Linked DNA regions of Ovis aries. The protein of the gene in region 1 interacts with the protein of each later gene in a biochemical or structural test. Links are inferred from orthologs where the notes say so. Each region holds a gene or a part of one and is shown on either strand. Other genes may lie near its edges. The genes, in order: APBA1 and CNTNAP4.

The links.
Region 2: the proteins of APBA1 (region 1) and CNTNAP4 form a complex in vitro, tested with the Homo sapiens proteins (2 studies listed by BioGRID and IntAct, with this or other methods). The link is inferred for Ovis aries from reciprocal best matches to the Homo sapiens genes APBA1 and CNTNAP4.

Annotation. Positions count from the first base shown.
Region 1 is NC_056055.1:67,169,236-67,176,567, reverse strand, and holds part of APBA1 (amyloid-beta A4 precursor protein-binding family A member 1), read right to left. Parts: intron 5,195-7,332; 5' UTR 5,126-5,194; coding exon 3,938-5,125; intron 1-3,937. UniProt on the Homo sapiens protein: Putative function in synaptic vesicle exocytosis by binding to Munc18-1, an essential component of the synaptic vesicle exocytotic machinery. May modulate processing of the amyloid-beta precursor protein (APP) and hence formation of APP-beta.
Region 2 is NC_056067.1:3,160,774-3,168,105, forward strand, and holds part of CNTNAP4 (contactin-associated protein-like 4), read left to right. Parts: intron 1-1,219; coding exon 1,220-1,444; intron 1,445-2,935; coding exon 2,936-3,069; intron 3,070-3,903; coding exon 3,904-3,991; intron 3,992-7,332. UniProt on the Homo sapiens protein: Presynaptic protein involved in both dopaminergic synaptic transmission and GABAergic system, thereby participating in the structural maturation of inhibitory interneuron synapses.

The DNA.
Region 1 (7,332 bases):
TGCTGCCTAAAGAGAGAGGGGCTCAGCTCGGTGCCCTGTGATGACCTAGAAGGGTGGGAAGGGGGGGGGGGTGGGAGGGAGGCTTAAGAGGAAGGGATAAAGCCATATGTATAGCTGATTCACTTTGTTGTAAAGCGGAAACTAACACAACATTGTAAAGCAATTATACTCTAATTAAAAAATTTTTTTTTTCTTTTAGAGAGAGAGATGGGTAGACTGTGGGACTTTCGGAACTAGTCGTTCATTAACAACATTTTCAAGAAGGGGACTGGAAGGTAGTTCTCAAACATATACCTGGAAAAGAGCCTTTACTAGAAGCAAAGCATTTATAAAGTACTTTTTTTCAGAAAACAATTATTTCCACTCACTGCTGAGCATCTAGTCTGTATTCAGTAAGTCCTTGCTAATGAGCAGTTCTATTTTCGCATTCTGTAGGATTCAGTAGCAAGCAGATGTCAGTTTCCTCCAAGTAAGAGAAAAATGCTAAAGTTCTGAGGGAATTAAAAGTAGTGTGAAGAACAAATTTAGCTATCAGCAGGTATCTCTGGCAGGTAGCAGTACAGGTGGTTTTTATTTCTTTCTATTTGCACCACTGCGGTTTCTGATGATGCTATTTTGAGAATGCACTGCTCCTGTAACAAGAATTCCAGCGCCCCTTCCCCAGGCCTGTTGACCATAACCAGAGTGGGAGAGACCATTCCATGAAACCACACCCATGTTAATATGAGATTTAGCTAGGTCTCTAATCCACAGGGGCTTACATGGAAAAACTACCCACATGATACTTGTCTTTTAAATCAGTGGTTCTTTTTTTTTTTTTTAAACATACTCAAGAATCATAGGGAAAATGTACAAAACAAAACAAAGCAAGGAAAACAAACCCAAAGAACAGATCACTGGACCCCACCTAAGGTATTCTGGTTTGGAAAGGGAAGGTAGTAATGCCATTTTTAACAAGTACCTTCCAGAAAGACTTCAGGCCGCAGTGCTTTTAATAGTGCTTTTCCATTTTCTACAACAGCATACATGAAATGAGCACTCAGTAAATATTTTTTGATGCTGAGGTGGAAACTAACAGAATGTATACACTTGTATTTCCCCCATAATAATATCAAAGAGGTAGCAAATGAAGGGCTTTCCTATGGTATGACAGATGAAATGGAACCCACAAATTCAGACGGTTTAAAGACAACTGGTGGATTACTTGAAGGCACAGGGTTTTGGGTTTGCTTTGTATTAACTATTAATAACTCAGAAAGCCCTATTCACCAATTTCTTGGTGTTAAGTTGAATTTCTGACTAGACAGGATTCTGAAGCATCACCAACTATTCTAAAATCAATTCTACCTTCTGAATGAAACAACTTGTAAGAGGGTTGTTTTAGTAGTTCAAATGGATAAAAGCAAGCCCCCAGCCCTAGTGGAGGGTATGTGGTGGGTTCATCATCAGGTTGCAGGGACCAGGTGGTGCATCATCATCATCATGCAGGGACCAGCAGGTCATTTCACGGAGCTGGTATAGGTGAGAAAGCTGAAGGAAGAGGCCAGCATCTGTACCGAATGCTCCTGTGGCTTTTTCCCAACAACTTTCCAAGTTTCTAAAAGGACTTAGAACCTGTTCTCCTGCCAGCTCCCTGCTTTTAAAAGCCTGCTCCATTTCTACTACATCTGCAAAAATGCTAGCTGCACTTCATCCCTCCAAGCCAGGAGACACCCGCAGAGACTGGAGGTCACTCAGAATCCCGCATAGGAGCACACCTGTTTTAAACTGAATGTGAAGCGTGGACTACAGAGGGAAAACACTGAGGAGGCTGAACTGACCCAATGCCGCCCCCTGGCTGGGGAGGATGCAGATCCTTTTCCAGCCTGTTCCAACCCTGCCTTAAAGGTGACTGAATCAGCTAACAGCCTTTGTTGAAATTTCACTTAAGTGTTAGTTGCTCAGTCGTGTCCGCCTCTTTGCAACCCCATGGACTCCTATGGCCATGGAATGCTCCAGGCAAGAACACCAGAGTGGGGATATTCCTGATCTGGGAATCGAACCTGGCTCTCATGCATGGTAGGCACATTCTTTACCATCTGAGCCACCAGGGAAGCCCAAGATTTAAAGGTGCCTGTGATTTAATCAGCTAACAGCCAATGTTGACTGTTACTAAAAGAGGAGGCAAATGACATCTCTGACCTGCACAGCCTTTTACCTAAAAGTAAAATGAACAAACAGCTTCCAATAATGGTTTCTCACTCCAAAAGAAATACTCAGAAATAGATAGGTGCAGTCATAAAATACAGAATTAAATGAAACCAAATTTAACCTCTTGACCCTTCTTTTACTCCAAGCTCCCATTTTAAATGAAAGTGCTTAAAAATTATTCAAGAGAATGGAAAATTGAGAGTCAGAGGAGAAAGAATCTTCAGAGTCAGGTAGTGGGGGCAAAGGTTAGCCTTCTTGATTTATTTCTGAGTAGACTGTGACACCCAAGCTTGCCGAGTTATCAAATTTCTTGGTTATTTCAAAAATGGAAAGTGAAAGGCCGATGAGGCAGCAACAGCTTTCCGTAGCTCTTCACAAGAAAGTAATTTCAGTTCAAAAGCATGTCTTTCGTGACGTGAGAAGCTCCTTCTGGTACCACCAGAAATGAAAACTAAGTCACAAAGAAGGGGAAAAAAAAAAGGAAACAAACTGTAGACATCCTTTGGCTGGAAAGGGCCCAGAAGAATCTCCTTGATTTCCTCTAAAAAGGCCACTATTCATCCTAAACCTTTAAGGGGTTGATTTAAGACAGTGGTTCTCAAATTGTGGTCCTGGGACCAGCAGCCATCAGCATCACCTACCAACTTATAAGTGACAATGCTGAACTTAACGTGAGCCCTGAGATCCCAGAAAACAGCAAAGGTTAAAGACCCCTATCCTCCCATTTCATTTGTGAATATGCCTTATGCAAAGAACCTCTTTCTGGTAAGACTTGAGTAACTCACAGGTGCCCCTTTGTTTACCTATGACAAGGCCAGACACAGACCCCTCAAATTCCCATTCTCTGCCTGAGAAATGATTAGCTGAACTGATTAGTCAAAACAGAATGCTTATTAACCAACCTTTGATTAAGCTTCTCACCTTCTTCCAGGTACCTGAACTTTTGCCAGTTTACCGCCCCTCCTCACCAAACCCTCCTGGGACAATGCTGTTCTCAGATTAAAACACTATCAAGGGCAGTACTTCAAGCCATGCTTCATCCCACTTCCTCACATCTTGTCCTTTCAGGCCTTGCTTACTCCTACCTACGAAAGAATCCTCTTCTGCCTAACCCTAGGCTGCAGTCCATGAGGTCGCAAAGAGTCGGACACGACTGAGCGACTTCACTTTCACTTTTCACTTTCATGCATTGGACAAGGAAATGGCAACCCACTCCAGTGTTTTTGCCTGGAGAATCCCAGGGACAGAGGAGCCTGGTAGGGGGCCATCTATGGGGTCGCACAGAGTCGGACACGACTGAAGCGACTCAGCAGCAGCAGAAACCCTTGCAGATCCCACAGTTCTGCTACTGCAAGAGTTCTTGTTACAACAGTACCTTCCCAATGAAGTCTCTCCTTCCTCAATCCAGACTTGTTTTTTATTTAACGTTAGAAATAAATATTCGCAGGCCCTGCCCCAAATCTAAGTGTGAAACTAGGTGATGGAAAGAGGTGCGTCTGGAAATCAATTTCTGAACAAGTGCTCCAGTAACAGTTTGAGAACCATTGATTTATCGCAACCTCTCAGCACTTAACTCCTTCGCACCTGGTTTTCGCTCACCGGCTCTTAAGCACAAGCTCTTTCTGAGCATGCCCAGAGATCATTTCCGTCATCAAGTCATTTCTAATGACAAATGATGCCACCCAGCGCCCGTCTCCCCACCTGGCCGCGCGTAGAGCTGAGCGAGCCCGAACCCGCACACACTTACATCGCCATCCACCGGCCTCTGGTCGTCACAATCCCTGGTGGGACTAATGTCCTGGCGCATGACCCAGATGGGCTCTTTGGGCTCGTCGGGGGTGTAAGGCGAACGGATGGTCCTGGTTTTCACCTCCTCGATGGCCTCCTTGATGTCCTTGATGGCCAACGAGATAGCATCCCTCTTCTCCTTGCTGTATCGCTGCACCGCCTCGCCGCCGGGGGCCCGCTGCTGCCCCGCCGGCGCTTGCAGCCCGGGGCTGTCGGGGCGGCCCCCGCCCGGGGTGGGGGCGCGCTCCAGGTCCTGCTCCGCCTCGGGCATGTCCTCGGCCGCCTTGTCGAGGCTCTGCGAACTCATGCTCTGCTTGACCTCGGCCACGATCTGGTCGATGTCCTCCTCCTGCTCATAGCTGTCCATGCGCGGGTAGGGCGCGAACTCGGCCTCCTTCTCCGGGCTGTCGGACTCGCCGTCGGAGCGCTCGTCATAGTGGTGCAGCCGCGCGCCCAGAGCCTCCTGGCGGTAGGCGGCCGCCTCGTCGCGCTCCTGCTCGTACAGCCGCAGACCGTCGCGCGCGTCCAGCTCGGGCGCGTCCCCAATCTCCTCGTACACGTGCTCCTGGAGGCCCCCGTAGTCGGCGTAGGGCTCGGCGTAGGGTTCGTCCTCGCCGCGGTGGAAAAGCCGGTGCGTGTAGACGTAGCCCGAGTAGGCCGCGTTCATGGCCTCCTCGTGCTCCAGCGAGTGGAAGTGCAGGTGGTTGGGCAGCGCGCGTCGGTGCGTGGCCTCGGCGTGCTCGGCCTCCGCCTGTTCAGTGTACTCCTCGGCCTCGGGCCGGTACTGCACAGCGTACGCGCTCTCGTCGTCGGGGTCCTGCGCGCGCTCGGCGTCGTAGCCGTCGCGGGCCGCGGCGATCACGTCGCCCTCGGCCGTGTCCGTGTGGTTGTGGAAGCCGCTCTCCGTGCTGGCCGAGCGCGCCAGGCACTCCCCACGCTCCTCTTCTTCCTGCTGCTGCTGCTGCCCAGGCTGGGCGCGAGGGTCTTCGACGGCGCGCCGGCGCCGGGGGCGACCCGCATAGTGCTGCTGCTGCTGCTCCTCCTCCACTTCGGGGTGCTCCAGGTCGGCCTCCACCGACTCGTTCACCTCCCCGCCTGCCGCCTCGTCCGTCACCTCCACCTCCGCGGCCCCCTCCAAGTGGTTCATGGTGGGCGTCGGGGACGGCTGGGAGAGAGGCTGGGCCGGCTCACTGCGCTCTCATTTTGCTCCACCCGGCTGGAAAAACAAGAAGGGGGAGGGGCTATTACGTGATTCAGACTGTAGGCAGAAGCCGAGTACCAAGATAATCATAAAAACAGCTGTTATTGATCTCGTCTGAATCGCGGTCAATTAAAAAGTGATTGCAAATTTAGGCTCAAGCTGACAGCACATAGTTCATCATCTTCGTAGCACGTGTTGTAATTTGTAATTACATGTCTCCTTGTTTCATTGCTTACTGGCTTTCTCTCTTCCCCACCCCTCAGACCGACAGCCTTCTGAGCCTTTAAGTTCCCCACCGCGCTTACTATTCAGGTTCTGTTTCTGATGCATATGAATAGAGAGTACTACCAAATTGAATGAGCCAATTGACACATTTTCCATCTGCTAAGGGATAAATCTCTCTAAATTAAACTAGGATCCTTGATACTTTAGAAACTATTTTTTAAAATAAATTTCAAGGGAAAAAAGGACTTTCCTGGTGATCCCGTGGTTAGGACTCCGTGCTTTCACTGCAGGGGGAAAGGATTCAATCCCTGGTGGGGGATCTAGGATCCTGCATGCTGCAGGGGCCAGGGAGAAGGAGTATTTCAAGGAGGAAAAAAGCCTTGGGATGTTTTGAATCCATTGCTGTCAGTACAAATATGCAGCCATTCTGAGGGAGGCTTCAGCCATCAGTGGGTTCTCATCCTGGCATTACTGGCTCTGTCAACTACCGTTAAGTGGTTTAATTTTCTGAATCTCCACCATGAGACTGGACTCATTTCCTGCGGCAGGATGTTAACAGCTACTATGCAGAGTAAAAAGGCTCCCTGCTCAAGTAGTTTGGGAGATGCTGACTTAAGTTGACTTTCCTTGTGAATATGCAAGGAGAGGAAGATGCAGGGTGCAGGGGTTACCCAACTTGTCTGACTGGGAAACACCTTTTCCCTAGAGGCCAGAGTTCTGACGACTGCACTTAAAACACTAATATTCTAATTTCTAATAGTCGCTCCCTCATACACCCTGGATCTAAAATTCTTCGATTCTGTAAGTTAGCATTATAGCTGACACTTTATAACATGCTAACTTCTTTAAAACACGGGTAAGTCTCTTTCCTTGTTTCCAGCGGGACTTGTGACTGCAGAGGTGGCTTTGGTTTCAACCACTCTCAAATTTGGTATTTGGTAAATTTAGTATTTTGGTTTCTTTTTATCCAAAATAGCTTTATAGCATAATCTGCATACAGTGTATGGGAATAATTGCAGGGGATGGAAAGAGCAACAAAAACAGGCAGGATCCCCATGATTTTAATGCAGTTGTGGTAAATGGGTTCAATGTGTGTAAACTTTCCTTAGTGTCCTTTTGGGGGGCTCATTTTACAAAAGGACAAAATTGGGAAATGAACTCTTTAATGTAAGAGCAGAAAGCTCCAGGAGGACCAGGGACATCTAATGGACTCTCTAATATTAGGATGCATTATATTCTACTCAACGCCCACCGTAAGGATCGCAATTTCCTTCAAGCACTATAATAGCCCCAGTAGTAAAGGAGGCCATTTTGGAGCTGCCAAGTTCATCTTAAAGCAGTAGTTACCATCTTTACCCCCTTCTTTGATGGATCCATCCCTGACTGACTAACACTCACTAGAAAACAATTATGGTTTAGCAGAGATGATCAGTCCTTACTGCTCTCCTCCTTGACAAGAATCCCACTTCACACAAATTAGACCAATTCTTCTTTGAAAAATTGTGGCTTCCTCTTATTTAACCCCTGAGAATGGTGACTGTGGACAAGGTATAGGAAAGTTTTCTAAGTACGTATTTCTGTTCAGACCAAATGGATGGTTAATGCACAGAAGAGGCAAATATTGGTGCTGACAGTGCCCAGGTTTCATGCCTCCAGTGGTGCATGAAATATACAAAACAAATATTCAATTCCATTCAAGGCATGGACAAGAACAGTCTATCCAAGTTTTCCTTATAAGGACTCTCTGGAAAAGACAACAGATAAAAACCACACTCACGTTGAAATCTAAGTCTGCTGAGAACAAAGCAAGCGTTCATAATGGAGGGATGCGAAACATGCCAGATACTTCCCTGGGTACTGTTACCCTGCAGTGTGTCAGCTGTGTGTAGTTAGAGATGCAGTGACCACCATCCAAAACACATGAGCAG
Region 2 (7,332 bases), on another chromosome or scaffold:
TCCATCTGCTCTTTTCTATCTATTGTTAATGCTCTTAAATAATACAGGTGTCAACAGCCAGTCCCATGGGGGCAGTTCTCATTTTTAAAATCATTACAAGCGTTGTTATTTTTGAAGATGGCCAGCCATGCAAAGACATTTGGGAAGCCTTTTTGTTTGCACCAACAAATATTATTCAGCAAACAGGACTAGAAATAACTTTTCCATTGAGTATCGATGTGTGTCAAAATAGAGATACTCAGGCATCTTGTTCTGTGAAATGCCGACTTTCTGTTGGTGAAGTGAAACAGTGGACCGTTTTTCAGCTGGTCTTGTTCACTGATCCACGTCATGGAAGAAGGGAAAAGCTGAGTGTAGCACTTAGTGTTCTGAACAGATTTCTGTGAATAGACAAACATTTGCTACACCTTCATAGTTCCTCATAGAAAATTGTCATCCAATTTAATTCAGTTGCTTTACTTAAGTGTTTCTGGACTACTGAACCTTTACCTGAAGGAAACTAACGAAAATTGGCCTCAAACTGAAGCGATCCCTGCCTTGCAATGAAAACAAAGGGACTGTTTAAAGGAAAGTTGGCCAAAATGAACTCTTCAAATCATCTACTTTCTATCAGGAATAACATCGTTTAAAATCAACCTTGGGTAATCAACCACTGCTTCTGCCTTTCTATAATTCTCCTGTTTAAAGTTAGAACTAAGACCGTGTCTTTACAAGAGCATGTCTTCATTTTCTGAATCTAAACGATTTCCAGGTCATCTTGCAAAGTGTAACCAGAAATGTTATTCTGTACCCACATAGTATATAGGATTTAAAACGAATACTATAGATAGTAAAAATCAAACAAACAGACAAAACGCCTAAAGCGCTGAGTGGAGATGTGCATCCTTGCGCAGCACCTGCAGTTCGCATTCAACCACCGCCCTGTATAGTGAGGAAGGGAAGAGTTCGGGAATCCCAAACTAGTTGCCCTTTCCATCATCCTCTTCATTTTTATATAACTATATTTGGGTGTATGTGTGTGTGTGTATGAATTTAGGATATTAATCCTAAATAAATACTAATCCTAAATGAATAAATCCTAAGTATTAAAATCATTTATGTAAGTAAAATGATTTTTTAAAATTTGGATTTTTTTTAATTTGAAAAGTATCATAACTGAGACCACTGAACAATCCTTGGTCTTCAATTTTTTTAACATAAAATGTGCTTATAATTTCAGAGATTTCTGCCTATTTTGGATCTGGCTCATCCGTGATTTACAATTTTCAAGAAAATTACTCCTTAAGTAAGAATTCCAGCTCCCACGCGGCTTCGTTTCATGGTGACACCAGGCTGAGCAGGGAAACGATCAAGTTTAGCTTCCGCACAACACGGACGCCAAGCCTGCTGCTCTATCTGAGTTCCTTTTATAAAGAGTACCTTTCAGTTATCATCGCCAAAAATGGTGAGTGCTGTTCAAATGAGAGAAAATAGTATCAGAGCATTAGATCCATAATAATATGGATATTTCTCATGTTCTTGCTTCTCGAACTACAAACAGGAAAAAAATAAATGTGCCTGTTTGATTTATTCAGTTTTGTTTTTTCAGTGCTGTCCTGTAAATTTAAAAGGATTATTTAAAATACTTCAAATGTCTTTATAGCCTTATAGCTTTGGTAATGTAACATATTCTGTGTGAATTTTTAATTTACGTAGATAAAATATTTATTATAAATATTTTATATAAATATACAAATTTTATATATTATATATTTAAATATATAAATATATTTACATAAATATATAAATATATTTTAAATTATTGTTATAAAATTTTATTATTGCTAGAAAATCTTTACTGTTCCGTGTGTTTGTTAGTACCAATTTTTGGTTCATTTTGAAATAAAATGCCTGTTTGTACATAACAAATATTTCCTTCAAATCAAAGTAGAGAAGTTTTGAGCGAATGTTAGCCAATTAGCATTATGTATAAGAAGCTGTCCATAAAATAACCCCTTGGTTCTGATTTTCGGCAATACGGTGGTCGTGGGTAATGCTAATGCGCCAGTGCAGGATAATGGTGTGTGGTTTGGGACGTGTGTGCTACAGACACCCACTTACTATTGTTGTTCTCGTCCCTTTATCTGGGTTAGAGATAAAAAATTTTATGACTAAAATGAGGAAAACAAAGGGACATGCAAACATGCAGCTATATCATTTCAACTAAATCAAATATGGCCCAAGGGCACTGAACACCAAATTTTAAAAAATATTGTTCAATAAGTATATTCCTCCTCACAGTATATGTTTTGAGCTTGAAGTTTTTCTACATATATTTGTTAGACTGAAAGATATCCTGTGAAGTAGATTTACTGACATCTTTGCAGGCAATTAAAACATGAGTAGTATTAACTCTAACAGTAAGTTTGGTAAAACTATTCATCTCACCCTAATTTCATTCCAAACTCTATAACCATGACCACTTGAAAAAAATTCCTTATCTTTAGTAAAACTGTATTTGATAATAATAATTCCATTCATCAGTTGCATTTCAGGAATGGTAGGCATAATTTTTGAAAGATGAATTACAGAAACAGAAAGTTACTGCAATATTCCACAGTAGTTTGACATTTCATAATATATTAAACCTTATTATTTTAAGTCAGAGGCTAGTACAAAGATTTACATATGCTTAATTACATATTTGACAAATCAAATATTTGCAAGAAAGAGCCTGCTTATTTGCAGCATATTTGCTCTTAATTTTGGGAAAATAGTGCAATTTCACATGGAAACTGACTTCTAGGAATTATGATGAAAGTGTACAGCCAAATAAACTGTTGTGAATTCTTTCCCAGGAACTGGTAAGTAACAAAAAAGGACTCTGAGGGTTTTTTAAAGGAGTTTAAAAAAATACAATTTTAACTAAACTATAACTTTTCCCCTCTAACTTTAGGAAGTTTGCAGATCAGGTACAAGCTAAATAGATATCAAGAACCCGATGTTGTTAACTTTGATTTCAAAAACATGGCCGATGGGGAGCTTCACCACGTAAAGATTAACAGAGAAGAAGCAGTGGTCTTTGTGGAGGTAATAGAGAAAATACGACAGAAGCAGTGGTTACAAGTAAACTCCCCAGCATGACGGACCTGCAGCAGAAGCTGGATAATGCATAGATTAAATAAAGTCATTCTTCCAGTGCCGCCCTTACACAGATCATAGACCATCAAATGTGTTCAGTTTTTGTAGCAATAGGATTCTGTTTAAGAGATTAATAGTATTTGATACTTAAAATTGCCAAACTTTCCTATTTGTTTTACTTTGCTCAGGTGGGAAGTGCTTTTTAGTTGAGCGTAATCTACTATTGGCAGAACTGTTGCTACTCTAATGAAACCAGTTTACTTCAGATGGCTGTACGTGCAGCCATATTTCTTGCACAGAAATTAATGATCACAATTTCAGAATGAATTTTAAAACGATGTGAATTATAGCAGAGAAAGTTGAATTATTCACTCTACCAGCTTTTGAAGAAAAGCACATATGTTTCAGCCCTCTAGATAGAGGAAACTTTCTTAGCTAAATGACTCAAGTGAAAATACCCAGCTACGTAAAAATATCAAGGTGAAGATAACTTGTATCTTTTTGTGGGTTTTCTCCATTTGAATTTCTTATACAGTGGAGAAAAATAAAGTTATATAAGGGGATAGAAGGTAGCGTACACTGGTATCTGAGGGTACATAGAAGTAATTTAGAAAATAACATTCGCCTATATAAATGACTGACTTTAAACTCTGTTTTTCTAATCTTTGGGGCCATATTAACAATTCCCTATTTTATCATTTTCTTTTGTCTTCCTTTGCTCCTGTCCTCTTCTCAATGACACCATCTGTGTGGATATTTGCCTCTCATGTAACAATTCTGTAGCTTGATGAGAGCGTGAGGAGGCAGGTCCACCTGGCGTCAGGCACAGAGCTCAGTGCAGTCAGATCCCTTGTACTGGGCAGGATTATAGGTAAGTACGAGGAATGGCCTTTTGCCTAATCATGATGCATGAACATGGACCAGGAGAGTCATGTTCCAGATGCACACACACACACACACACACACACCACACAAACTCATCATGCCAAAAGAAACCGCTTGCCTTATTTCAGTTGTGAAGTGAATGATAATCAAGGCAGAAACTGTACTTTCTCAGTGTGTGTAATTGTGAGCTGGGACATTTTGTAAGATGAGCAAGCATCCTCCTTGAATAGTAACACCATGCTGGTGTCCGCCCTATGTCAGTCCAGCATAATGAAACATGGTCTCACTCTCACACTTCCAAAATATCAAATAATAAAGGTATAAATAACACACCATATATCAATCAGCTGCAAAACATATAAACTGTAATCTAATGATAGCGCTAGGATTAGGTCAGAAGAATATGGAGGAGAAAGCAACTGCCATTCTTCTGGTTAGTGAATATGCTTCAGGTTGTGGCCTGGATCCTTTCTGCTTTGTTGAAGGCAGTGGCCAGCCACTCCTCCTGACTTATAATATAACCCAGTGTCTGTCTAAATGCCTTATAATTCTTATTTCTATCCACCAGTTATCTCTGATAATAGCATGGAAATAGAAACATACTCTTGCCATTTTAGAATCAAAACGTGTGCTTTTTAAATACTTGCCAACAAAGACTAAATGGAAAGAGGGACAATAAATTTTAAGAGATTTTCTTTTTAGATATAAATGTGAGGTTGGAGGACTTCCTGTAGTCTGGTTTTCATTCCTAGTTTGATATTTGACATTAACCTGGAATATTTTGTCAAAGATAGTAAATGAAATATTTTATTTTTTGACCTTTTCCGGTACTTGTACCTTGATATATCATTTCTTACATTCCCTGTACGTAATGTTAGAATCTTGAGAATGCTTGATTAAACCTGTGGGTGAATGATCAAGATATTGGCTCTGAGAAGGTTAATACTTAAGTTTACAAATATTTATAGTCTTTCTAGCATTGTGAGAAGTGCCAATGTTGTATGCTCTTGTTCTCCAAACAAATAAAGGAAATTGAATTGAATTGTTCTTCTAGTATGCTAGGATGGACATGAAATATATGTGTAAACTACTACTTAGCTATCTGGAAGCTTAACTGGAAAATCCCAAGTGGTTTCATAGCATAAATCACATAAATTGAACTACAGTAATAAAAAATATCAAATAATTATAGTAAATTTCAATTTCAAGAGTTCCTCAGTCTAGCAGGGCCTGAGTTGAGGCATTTTATAAAAAATGTAAAATTAAAAGATTAAAAATTCTGACAACTATGATTAATGTTGATAAACCATATTTTTGAAGAAATAGCATCTTCAAACTTAATGCCAGATTTGCTGATGAAAATACTTTGTGTGAATATAAATATGTTAAATTTATTATAAAACAATTGGGAAACTGACCTGCATTCTATGAGGAAGATTGTATTAATCAAACAGTAGAATAATAACATTCATCATATAGATACTTGTTTCCCTTTTTATAATGAATATTGTAGATTAGTAAGGAATTAAAGATGTTAATGTTTTTACTCAAGAATAGCGTATTATTAAAACTCACATCACTCATGCTGAAAAACAAGATTAAAGTCCAAGTTCAGCAGTGAACTTTAGAGGCTGAATCAATTCATTCTCCTAAAAATGGAAGTATGAATTTATTGATCCTTAGGTGTGAATCTTGACCAAAGACTAACATTGCATTCAAATCATGTGTAATTCAAAGGAGACTAATAATTTATGGTCATATGGTATGGTATATGCATGCATTTATAACAAAATGTTATGTAGTATATTATTACATTTTAACATGCTACGTTAATTTATGGTAAAAATAGACGCTAAAATGGAGCTATTCGTTTTCCAGAGAGTTGGTCAATCTTGAGGTTTCTATGTTAGTCTCAGTCCCTCCAAGAAGCTGTTTTAATTTTAATTTTGTCAAGACAAAATTAGCCACTTGAGGGTTTTATCAAGGGGACACTTATGAAAGAGAACGTGAGGAGAGAGCCTATCAAGACTGCATGCAAGCCTGCCTTCCAGTGAAGGAGAGAGGGAGGGACAGTTAGAAGCATCCTTGACTTCAGCTTTGTGGGGAGCCAAGTCTTTTGGCCACCAGAGGAGCCTCGTGTCACCAGAGGGTGGGTGTGCCTTAGAGTCCCTGCTGTGGACAGCTCTTGCCTGGGAACAGCCGTGGGAAGCAAGGCCCTGGCCCAAGCCTGAGGATGAGTTTCAGAGCCCAGCACCTGGGGCCCTCAGTCGATTCCTCTCACCCAGTTAGAGGTCTGCAAGGCACATTCTCCTGGCCTCATGCTAACCAACTGTGGTTTTCATTTTTATAAGCCCATTTGGTTCCCTTATTTATTTAGCACATACACTGTATCACCTGCTGTGAACACAGGGAGTGCCACTCAGCAAGGCAGACGTTGCATCTGCCCACACAGAATTTATGGTTAGTGGGCATACAGATAATCATAATACACGATGTTCCTATGTATCTAATTGAGTGTAGTATGCCCTATGTTGCTTGGGATAAAATAGCTCCAAATTACCCTCCAAAGTAAAGTAAGTTAGCATACCGTGGGACCCCCCCCCCCCCCCCGGTGGCCCAGTGGCTGGGACTCGGATCTTTCACCTCCATGGCCCTGGGTTCAGTCTCTGCCAGGGACCTGAGATCTTGAAAGCTGCGTGGTGCAGCTAAGAAAAATAGTAAAATACTTATATCATTTTATAATATCTGAATATTTCTTTTAAGGGAGCAGAAAATAAACATTTTAGAGTTGTCATTTGCCTACATTTTCAAACAAACACTCAAGGATATGACCATCCACTGCCATTTCAGATGGACCCCAAAAATAAAGGGCATTCTTCCCCTGTTTTCCATACTCATTCCTTACACTTAGGAAGAATCATGGGAATAATTTTGGATCATTGTCACTATTAATCAGTATGACTAGCAGATGTTGAAAGGAGGGTAAATTTTAGAAATCATATCAATCTGACATGAAAACCATCTCTAACTTTCTACTACACTTAAAATATTTGAGGATGCAGTAACTTTGGCCATAATAGTCATTAGTAGTTGGGAGCTGGATGGGAAGATCAAGCTCTTTGCCAAAGCAGCTGAATTCAGATACTCCTATATTCAATAAAGTACATTACATTTGGTTTTCATATTCAGAATTCACTATAAAGTGAAGCTCTTGATTCTAAGTCTGAATACTTTAATATGTTAGGATAGATTTATGATTTATTTGAGTAACAACTGGATGATTATTTGCACTCATCCTGAGCTTTTGTATATTGGAGGTGATTGATG